Linked DNA regions of Xenopus tropicalis. Each later gene encodes a partner of the first gene's protein in a complex. Links are inferred from orthologs where the notes say so. Each region holds a gene or a part of one and is shown on either strand. Other genes may lie near its edges.

Region 1 (4,780 bases):
CTTATCAATCAAAATTATTTATCAAATAGATCTTTCACCTATTGATAAATACACTTCTAAAAATCCCATGAATGAAATGGAGTGTTTCTGTGACGAGATCTAATTTCACACTATGATAAATCTGCCCCTCAGTGTTACTATATATTGGACGTTTCATAGTTAATAGGGGTTAGGGAAAAAAAAAAAAAGTTGCTCAAGTCCAACCCCATCGAACAGCCCATGATGCACATTCAGCAGGGAAAAGAAGTATTGCACACATCAACATTTTTCACAGTAAATATATTTCAAAAGGGGCTATTGACATGAAATTTACACCAGATATTGGTAACAACCCAAGAAATCCACACATACAAAGAAATCAAAACAAATAAGTCTTTAAATTAAGTTATGTGTAATAAAGTGGAATGACACAGGGAATAAGTATTGAACACATGAAGAAGAGGCATGGAAAGCAAAGAAACCTGCTGACATTTGTCAGTATTTTGAAAGCAATCCTGCCCCCTATCAGTGCAAAATAATTTCAGCTGGCTTAGTCCTAATAAATGGTTTCTCATTACCAAGGTATCACACAAGAAGCATCTCATGATGGGTAATAGCAAAGAGCTCTCTCAAGACCTTTGCAACCTTATTGTTGCAATACATACTGATGGCATTAGTTATAGATGTATTTCTAAGCTTCTGAATGTTCCAGTGAGCACAGTTGGGGCCATAACCCGGAAGAGGAAAGAACATCATTTCACATTAAAAGGGCACGACCAGGTGTTCCTCCCAATATTTCTGACAGAGTAATCAAAAGAATAATCAGAAAAATTGTCCAAGAGCCAAGGATCACTCATGGAGAGCTTCAGAAACACCTTGTACAGTTGTTTAAAAAAAACAATAAGTAATGCACTCAACCAACATGGCCTCTTTGCAGGCTCAACGCGCAAGACACCACTGCTAAAGAAAAAACATGTTGAAGCTTGGTCAGATGAAAAAATGACACTGCACATCACATCATTTCAAATGAAAGGTGGGCATGTCCTGACAGAGACCTGAGATGATCTATAGGGAGCTCCAATAAAGGGGCCATTTTTGACAGTGTTCAATTTAGCCAAAAGTGAAATCAGCACCATATATTATTCATAATTGCCTACAAAATTGGGGTTTTTTCAATGTTTCCAATATGTCTCCTTTAAGCTGAAAGTATTTATCAGAAAGGGAAAGGTCTATAAAAACACTGCACTGAGTTCTCTCAAAAGAAACAGGATTTGTTGTCTTTGTTTTCCTGTGCCAGAGACATGCAGCTCTCTCCCCCTCCCTCAAGAATGCTAAGAACTCACTTCCCCCCCCCCCTCTTAGAAATGTGTGATCTGAGCCAATCAGTAGGAAACTTCCTCATCGTCTTACAAACTGAGCATGTACAATGGTCTCGGTCCAGGAGTGAGGAATTATGGGAACTTTCTTTTCAAAGCTTAGATTTTTTTTTTCCTATGAGGTTTCTGATCATCTGAACAGGAGAAATATGGGGGGACTTAAAGGCACTATTGAGAAAACTGAAGGTATGCCTGCAGCTTGAAATTAACTATTAGCCTTTCCTTCTCATTTAAAGGGAAACGAAAGGTAAAATCACTTGGGGGTGCCAAAATGTTAGGCACCCCAAGTGACTTTAACCGCTTACCTCGTACCCCGGGCTGGTGCCCCTGTTAGGAGAAAATAGCACCAGCCCGGGGCACCTGGAGCGGATCGTTTCCTTATTCCGGCTTCCGTTTCTGGAATGCCAGCGGTGGGCGAATGCGCAGTAGAGTGAAAAGCCGACTTTAAAGTTTAAGTTCGGCTTTTCACTCTACTGCGCATGCACGCGCAGCGAATCAGGCAGAGGCAAGCGCCGGCAGCTACCCCGGGCTGGTGCTGTTCCCTCCTCACAGGGGCACCAGCCCGGGGTAAAATGTAGGTGGTCAAAGTCACTTGGGGGTGCCTAACATTTTGGCACCCCCAAGTGACTTTGACTTTCTTTTTCCTTTAAGCCCATTTATTCAATTTCAATACACAGAGACATGTAACATCACAAAGTTTCTTCCCTATCTATGCACCTTACACTATATTACCTGTACATGGAATTGCAAATAAAAGCAGTAATTCTCTATCCCTTTCTATTGTCTGGGTCTTAAGCTGGCCATACACGTGGCAATCTGACGATGTTTCGTGCAACCATCGGTAAGGAGGTAGAAACAATAGGATTTCTACCTCCTTCTGCTCCTTCTGCTGATTCAGCGCTGAAGGGAGATTTTGGTCAGGCGCCTTCTATGGCGCCCAATCAAAATTTTCAAACTGGTCCGATCGGCGAGTCGGCCGATATCAGCAGCTTCCTGCGATATCGGTCGACTCGCCGACATACCATACACGCACCGAATATCGTACGAAACGAGGTTTCGTACGATATTATTGGTGCGTGTATGGCCACCTTTACTCTTAAAACAATGTTACAGGGTCAGGTCTCCTCTAGGTATTTTTATCCAGCTGCCTTGTATTATTGCTCCAAAATCAAAGCCAGGAGTGCAGAGAATGTAAGCAAGACAAATAAAGCTTTTTAGATATTACATTAACAAATCACTTTAAAACTACTGAAAGTTTGTAAATAAAGTATATTGGACAGTTAATTAGAATTGCATTACCTTTCTATAAGCAAAACAAGTTTTTGAAAGGAGAACCCCTTCAATCTTCATTTAGAGAACTTCCTCTTGCACTACAGCTTAAAAAAAAAAAATTAAAAAAATAGTCATAATGCGTATTTGAAAGTATTGTTACCAGTTCAGTAGAGACCCATAATATGCATTTCTATGGATTAATGCATTCGTGTAGGTCAAATTTTAACAACTAGCCAATTAAAATTGTTAAGCATTAATGCCTCTAAATGACGACTGCATGTACGTTCGTGCTGATCCAAAGGCATATTCAAGACAACTTATTTGGAGGTTTTTGGTCTTAAAGTAACGAGTTGTACCATCTTACGCTTTAGTCTAAACGTTCTCCTTTTCAGAAAAAGGATATACTATCAACTAATTTTAAAGGTCGGCCCCGCTCACATACCGCCCAATAGTCCCGCTTTTAGCTGGACAGGTCCGCTTCTCTTAACTCAGCCCTCAGTCCCGACTCGGTCTTAAACGGTTTCCAAAAGCCATTTATATATCTAGTTCCTGTGGCCGTGAGTGACGTCACAAACACGTGAAGACGTGGCGACGTCTCCAACACGTAACATTCAGCGCCTTCTTCAAATGCCTGTGTAAATAGATTATAGGTGGTTACTCGGGGATGCTATGGAGAGAATGGCTCATTAAAAGTAGTGTCACAGTGCGCTATTGAGTATTGGGTTGCGCTGGGTAGCATTATTTTTTTCTTGGGACAGAATTAAATGTAGGAGTTTATTCAGTTGCCTGAATACTGGGACACTTGATGTTCAGTGGAGGCTGTGGATCTATTCTATGTAAGGTGTGTGCCCTTAATTTTAGGGGGTTGTTGGAGCCTGCTTATATGTGGAGTGCTTGTATTTTTTGGGGTAAGGGTGCTGATGAGTTTTGGGGGTGTGCATTTTTTTGAAGGGTGGTTATTGATTTTTTTTTTCCAGCTGGGTTGACGTGTTGCACAATTTTAAACTATGGGGAAGAGTTTTGGAGTGTGCTTATGTTTTTGGCATGTTAGATAATTTTGGGGGAGGTTTTGTGTATGTAACCCCTTTTTGGCTAAAAAGCACTTTAAATGCCAGGCTATGGTTAGAGCATGGGGCACATTGGGACTCTATTTCAAAGGGGTGGCCTTCGCTAAGTGGAAGGCAAAATATACGAAAAAGTCGCAAAATGTTCGTTTCCAATCCGAATTTTTCCCATTCGAATTCGTGGATTAGTAAATCAGCCCCCTAGAGTGTGCTATGACAGAGTCTAGTCCTGAGACTAACTTTACCTCGTTCACGGGGCCCTGTCCCCGACTTTACTTCAAAGAATATGGCTTACTGGGGCCTATGTCTGCACCCAGGCTCAATGGAGCTGTTGTTGGGAAGCAGACAGGCAGCCACACCTCCTTGCTAGACATTATATGAGGCTGCAAGGAGTGTGGACAACCATATGGGCCAATAAAGTATAGGCATAACTATAAACTGTTACAAAGGCTTCCAGTAACAAGGGATCTATGTGAAGAGGTAGGGATATCACTCCATAGGGCATTTAACCCTATGGGTCCCTACATTTGCTTAAAATTTCGGTTGTGCTTTTTTTTTTTACCCAGAATATTGAGGGGAGATTGTGTTAGTAATATGGGTGGCATAAGTATTTAGATGTGCTAGTGGGGGAGGTACAGTGTGTGGTGAGATTACATGAGCTGTGGTAGGTTTATGTCTGTGGGGGTATTTGACTCTAGAGCAGTGTGTAGGGAAACTAGACCTACCTATGATGTGAGTGGGCTGTGGCAGCAGGTGAGGTCTGTAGTTATAAATGGGGGGGTGGAGGTGTGTAAGTAAGACATTATTTATGTATCTTAGGTATGTGTATGCCTTGCAGTGTATGTGTCCCTAGTTGTATAACTTGTATACCTGACTGTGGGAAAGTGAGGCACCTCTAGGTATGTTTGTGTCTTTGGGGTTAGGACAATGAGGGGGGTAGACCTTCTATTTGTCAGGAATGGGGGGGATAGGTTGGGTCAGTCTGTGTGTGCCTCCAAGGTATGGTTTTGATTGTGGGTACTGTGAGAGATACAAGCAGTAAGAGCACTGTTTGGTGTATTTTCCACCATTGTTAAAGGTGAGATACAG
Region 2 (4,695 bases), on another chromosome or scaffold:
GTGGGCGTGTCCTAACAGTCCCTGCCAGAAGCACAGTAGGAGGGGGAGAGCCAATCACAGCCCTGCAGTCACACCAGCACAGACAGGCTTCAGTTCCCTATCAGGTCAGCCTAGCTGCTGATTGGTTCCTATCCTACAGTGCAGTGTACTGAGTGCCGCCGGCTCCCCTGAACATCCAGAGAATTCAGCCAGCAGGAAGTGGAACAGATGGGCGGGGCTAGTGGGGTTTTGGGGGAATTTCTCAATAAATCAGTCTGAAACACAACTTTTTTTTAGCACAATCCGTCTATATCTAGAGGAGCATAATTCCCTGGTACATTTATAATTTTTATAGGATATGTCTCCTTTAATATATGGTACCAAAATACTGAAGGCCTCACTGAAACCTGCTGGTGAAATGTTGCAGATGATAAATGTGTAACGTGTAGCTGGACTCCATACATAGTAGGGGGGTGGGTGGTGGTCGCAGCAACAGCTTTTGTGTTTGGTTTGTCCCTAGGGTGCGGTTCTCTGATGGGCCCCAGGTACCCCAGTTCGACACTGGTTTTCTGGGGGTCTGTGTATAGTTAGGGGGGGGGTTACTGCACATAATACACTGACAGGGGGCTCTGTGTGCAAAAGCTGAGTTGCAGACGAGAAATCCTTATGCGCTATTTTCATTTTGGGGTCAGTACATACCGCAGACTTTGGTATATCTATGCATATTGGGCATCAAACTGTTCAGTAGGCCATTGGCCATTCATATTTAGGGTGATTTGTCATTGTATGTGTAGGGACCCATAGGGTTAATATGCCCCTATGATGTTAAACCCTACCTTTCCTTTTCTTCCTTGTCACTAGGCAGGATTTACCCCACATAAAATGCAGTAAATATGTTGATTGTGCAGTAACTAAAATGACAGATCATATGGGGGGGCATTTTTATTTTGGGGCCCCTACATGCCCTATACTTATGTAAACCTATGCACAATATACATAGTAACATAGTAAGTTAGGTTGAAAAAAGACGTACGTCCATCACGTTCAACCATAATGCCTATATATAACCTGCCTAACTTCTAGTTGATCCAGAGGAAGGCAAAAACCCCATCTGAAGCCTCTCTAATTTGCCCCAGAGGGGAAACGATTCCTTCCTGACTCCAAGATGGCACAATGGGCATCAAACTGTTCAGTGGGCCTGTTGCTGATGACATTTAGAAGCCTATATCTTGTTACAGAATCAGGGATTCTCATTGGAGAATTGTTTTGCATTATAAAGCAGTTGCTGGCTGTGGAGATTTGGGGAATAGTTTTATTGTGCAATACTGCTTTAAAAATGCAATCCTGATGTTGCTAGACTACAGCTCCCAGCATGCTTGAACTATCATATATTACATTATTCTGGGATTTATAGTCCAGCAACAACTAAATAAAGTTTGGTTGAGCAGTGCAGCAAGGTTTACAACCCCTTAACATTCATCAATGCAAAGCAACGTATCCCTTGGTCAGACTGTGATTGCTGTAAACAGCTGAATGCCATTCTGATGAATGGGGGTGTTAGATCCCAGGGTAGCCCAGAGCTTTAACACCCTCCTGAATCAAAGCAAACTAATGTAGCAATGAAAAAATACCCAACACTTACCCAAGAGGCGGATGCATTGTGATCCAGAGGTTTGGTGGGCACACATACAGGGTGGGCCGCCTTGTCAGGGGGTAGTCCATACTCATGGCGCAGACCCTGCTTTGGGCTTTCCAGGAACACCAGGCGTGGTTTGCTTGCGTTGTATGAGGTCTGCTTCTTACGAGGCATCGGCAGTTAATGGCAGGAACGCCAGCAGCCACATGGTGCTAAGGGGCAATAAACAAATGGCTGTATCCAGGAAAATCAGCCCTAAGGCACAAAAACAGAGGGACAGCAGGATTAGTATGAGGTGCAGAACACTGACAGGCAGTGGGCAAATAAGCCTCCCATTAAATAAGCCAATGGGATTTTACAGGCAAAGCCAAAAAGGTTTGATCTAAAATAGATCAAACCTTTTTGGCTTTGCCTGTAAAATCCCACTGCCTTATTTTTAGATTCTAAATCCTTATACTTGCTGCTGGTACAGGTATAGGACCCATTATCCAGAATGCTCGGGACCAAGGGTATTCCGGATAAGGGATCTTAGTTGGGATCAAGTACAGGTACTGTTTTATTATTACAGAGAAAAGGGAATCATTTAACCATTAAATAAACCCAATAGGGCTGTTCTGCCCCCAATAAGGGGTAATTATATCTTAGTTGGGATCAAGTACAGGTACTGTTTTATTATTACAGAGAAAAGGGAATCATTTAACCATGAAATAAACCCAATAGGGCTGTTCTGCCCCCAATAAGGGGTAATTATATCTTAGTTGGGATCAAGTACAGGTACTGTTTTATTATTACAGAGAAAAGGGAATCATTTAACCATTAAATAAACCCAATAGGGCTGTTCTGCCCCCAATAAGGGGTAATTATATCTTAGTTGGGATCAAGTACAGGTACTGTTTTATTATTACAGAGAAAAGGGAATCATTTAACCATTAAATAAACCCAATAGGGCTGTTCTGCCCCCAATAAGGGGTAATTATATCTTAGATGGGATCAAGTACAGGTACGGTTTTATTATTACAGAGAAAAGGGAATCATTTAACCATTAAATAAACCCAATAGGGCTGTTCTGCCCCAATAAGGGGTAATTATATCTTAGTTGGGATCAAGTACAGGTACTGTTTTATTATTACAGAGAAAAGGGAATCATTTAACCATTAAATAAACCCAATAGGGCTGTTCTGCCCCCAATAAGGGGTAATTATATCTTAGTTGGGATCAAGTACAGGTACTGTTTTATTATTACAGAGAAAAGGGAATCGTTTAACCATTAAATAAACCTAATAGGGCTGTTCTGCCAGGGATCAAGGGATCAAGTACAGGTACTGTTTTATTATAACAGAGAAAAAACAAATCAGGTTTAAAAATTCTGAATTATTTGATTAAAATGGAGTCTATTCGGAGCTTTCTAGATACCGGGTTTCCGGATAAGGGGTCCCATACCTGTACGTTAGCCAAGCTCTGAGTGCTACAGTCATTAGTCTCTGCCTCCTGTCATACCATGAGTTACCCACAGATGGCGCTCCCAACATGACGGCTCCGATTCCGTTTAAAACAAACAGGTCCAATCAGCATGTTCCCCACCAATCAATTTGTTATCCACAACTGCACCCACAACCCACCGACAGCTACAAACCCTTAATAAGCGGACAGGTAGCCCCCGAACATTCCGGCCCAGCGCTGTAATATCCCCTTCTTTCCGGGATACGTTAGGGCTTCTCTCTTTCCCCGACACCGATTGGCTACGGCGAGCGTTCTATAACTCGCTCATTATGATTGGCTCTTTGCCAAAGGAACTCGTTGATTGATTGCGCGATTGGTCGAGAGATGCGTGACGCGCTAGGGACGCGCTGTGGATTGGTCGATGTGGTCACGTGGGTTTAAGCGGGCCCGAAAGCGCGAAAATTCAAAAACCACGGAAAGGCCCGATATTGACACCGTCTTATAAACAGGTATTTAGATCGGGTTAGATCGTCATCGGACGTGAAGTTGGGGCTGTGTGTGTATGAGGGTGGGTGCAAGGCTTGTGTAGAAGGAGCATGGAGGCCTGTGGGTGTAGGGGGTGTCAGTTCTCAATATGGAACTGTCATGTTCCACTCTATGGAAGCCGCTGTTGTTCAACTACAACCCACCTGTAATGTCTTAATGGTCTTTTGGGGGAGGGGGTGTCCTGCAATGGTTCAGCCACATATTTTATATATATATATATATATATATATATATATGGGCCCTATCTGCCCATGGCAACTTTATCTCCCAATTGTGAAAATGTATCCTGTTTTCTGGCTTTAGTGCGCCCATATAATGAGGTTGTTGGGTTATACAATGGCTTTGCCTTCTGTCTGCCTCACCCTCCTCCTCCATCAATTCAATGGGTAATGAGTGACCTATTCAGTGAATGAGGAGGGGACAGGGGCTTTAACAATCAGTAAAGGGGGGTGCTAGAGCCATTGTCGCTCACTCTGTAGCAGTGCGGGTGTTATTAGGGAATTAGTATAGGTTGGAAAATAAAGTTAGAAACACACGAGAAGGGATCTCTAACCCCCTTGTATCACATATACAGCAAGAACCTAACAGAATAACGTTCTAGCTGGTCCAGTTCTCCTTACTAACCAATCAGAGCAGCAGGGAGTTCATTATGAAGGATGCTGTACCATAAATGCCTGTAATCCTTCCTCTTTGTTCCATAGCCCCAAGCAAATCATTCTATGCATCAGCTGCTGTATTGCTGGGGGGTCCCGCAATGGGTCAGTAAGGCCACTTGCCCAGCTACTGTATATTTGGGCACTATCTGCCGCTGGCACTGTGCTAGTGATGAAACCACGCAGCCATGGCAACTTTATTTACAAATTGAGGATATTTAACATGTTTTCTGGCTTTAGTGCAAAAAAAGGGAAAGTTGTGCTGACCATTACATTTTAAACCAGGGGGTCCTCAAACTACGGCCCCCCACGGGCATTTACCTACCCCTGCTGTGTCCTCACCCCTGGCTACTACCTGTCTGCCTCAGCGTGGCCCTCGCTGGACACATTAGCATCGGCGGGTGTGACAGGGTAACGTGATGCAGCCAAGGACCACGCTGA

What was found.
Region 2: the proteins of rad9a (region 1) and rhno1 are in contact, whole or in part, in a crystal structure (PDB 8WU8), measured with the Homo sapiens proteins. The link is inferred for Xenopus tropicalis from reciprocal best matches to the Homo sapiens genes RAD9A and RHNO1. Residues at the interface, in NP_004575.1 of Homo sapiens: Val41, Ser44, Arg45, Ser46, Ala47, Tyr48, Glu130, Leu132, Gln133, Ala134, Val135, Glu165, Tyr181, Glu183, Thr216, Phe217, Cys218, Gly244, Pro246, Val261, Leu262, Ala263, Thr264, Leu265, Ser266; in NP_001239428.1 of Homo sapiens: Thr88, Lys90, Phe91, Pro92, His93, Leu94, Thr95, Phe96, Glu97, Ser98.

Annotation. Positions count from the first base shown.
Region 1 is NC_030683.2:57,498,084-57,502,863, reverse strand, and holds the start of rad9a (cell cycle checkpoint control protein RAD9A), read right to left. Parts: upstream 3,111-4,780; 5' UTR 3,070-3,110; intron 2,732-3,069; 5' UTR 2,655-2,731; intron 1-2,654. UniProt on the Homo sapiens protein: Component of the 9-1-1 cell-cycle checkpoint response complex that plays a major role in DNA repair. The 9-1-1 complex is recruited to DNA lesion upon damage by the RAD17-replication factor C (RFC) clamp loader complex.
Region 2 is NC_030679.2:10,384,865-10,389,559, reverse strand, and holds the start of rhno1 (RAD9, HUS1, RAD1-interacting nuclear orphan protein 1), read right to left. Parts: upstream 3,353-4,695; 5' UTR 3,249-3,352; exon of another isoform or gene 3,056-3,248; intron 1,871-3,055; exon of another isoform or gene 1,828-1,870; 5' UTR 1,790-1,827; coding exon 1,622-1,789; intron 1-1,621. UniProt on the Homo sapiens protein: Involved in microhomology-mediated end-joining (MMEJ) DNA repair by promoting recruitment of polymerase theta (POLQ) to DNA damage sites during mitosis.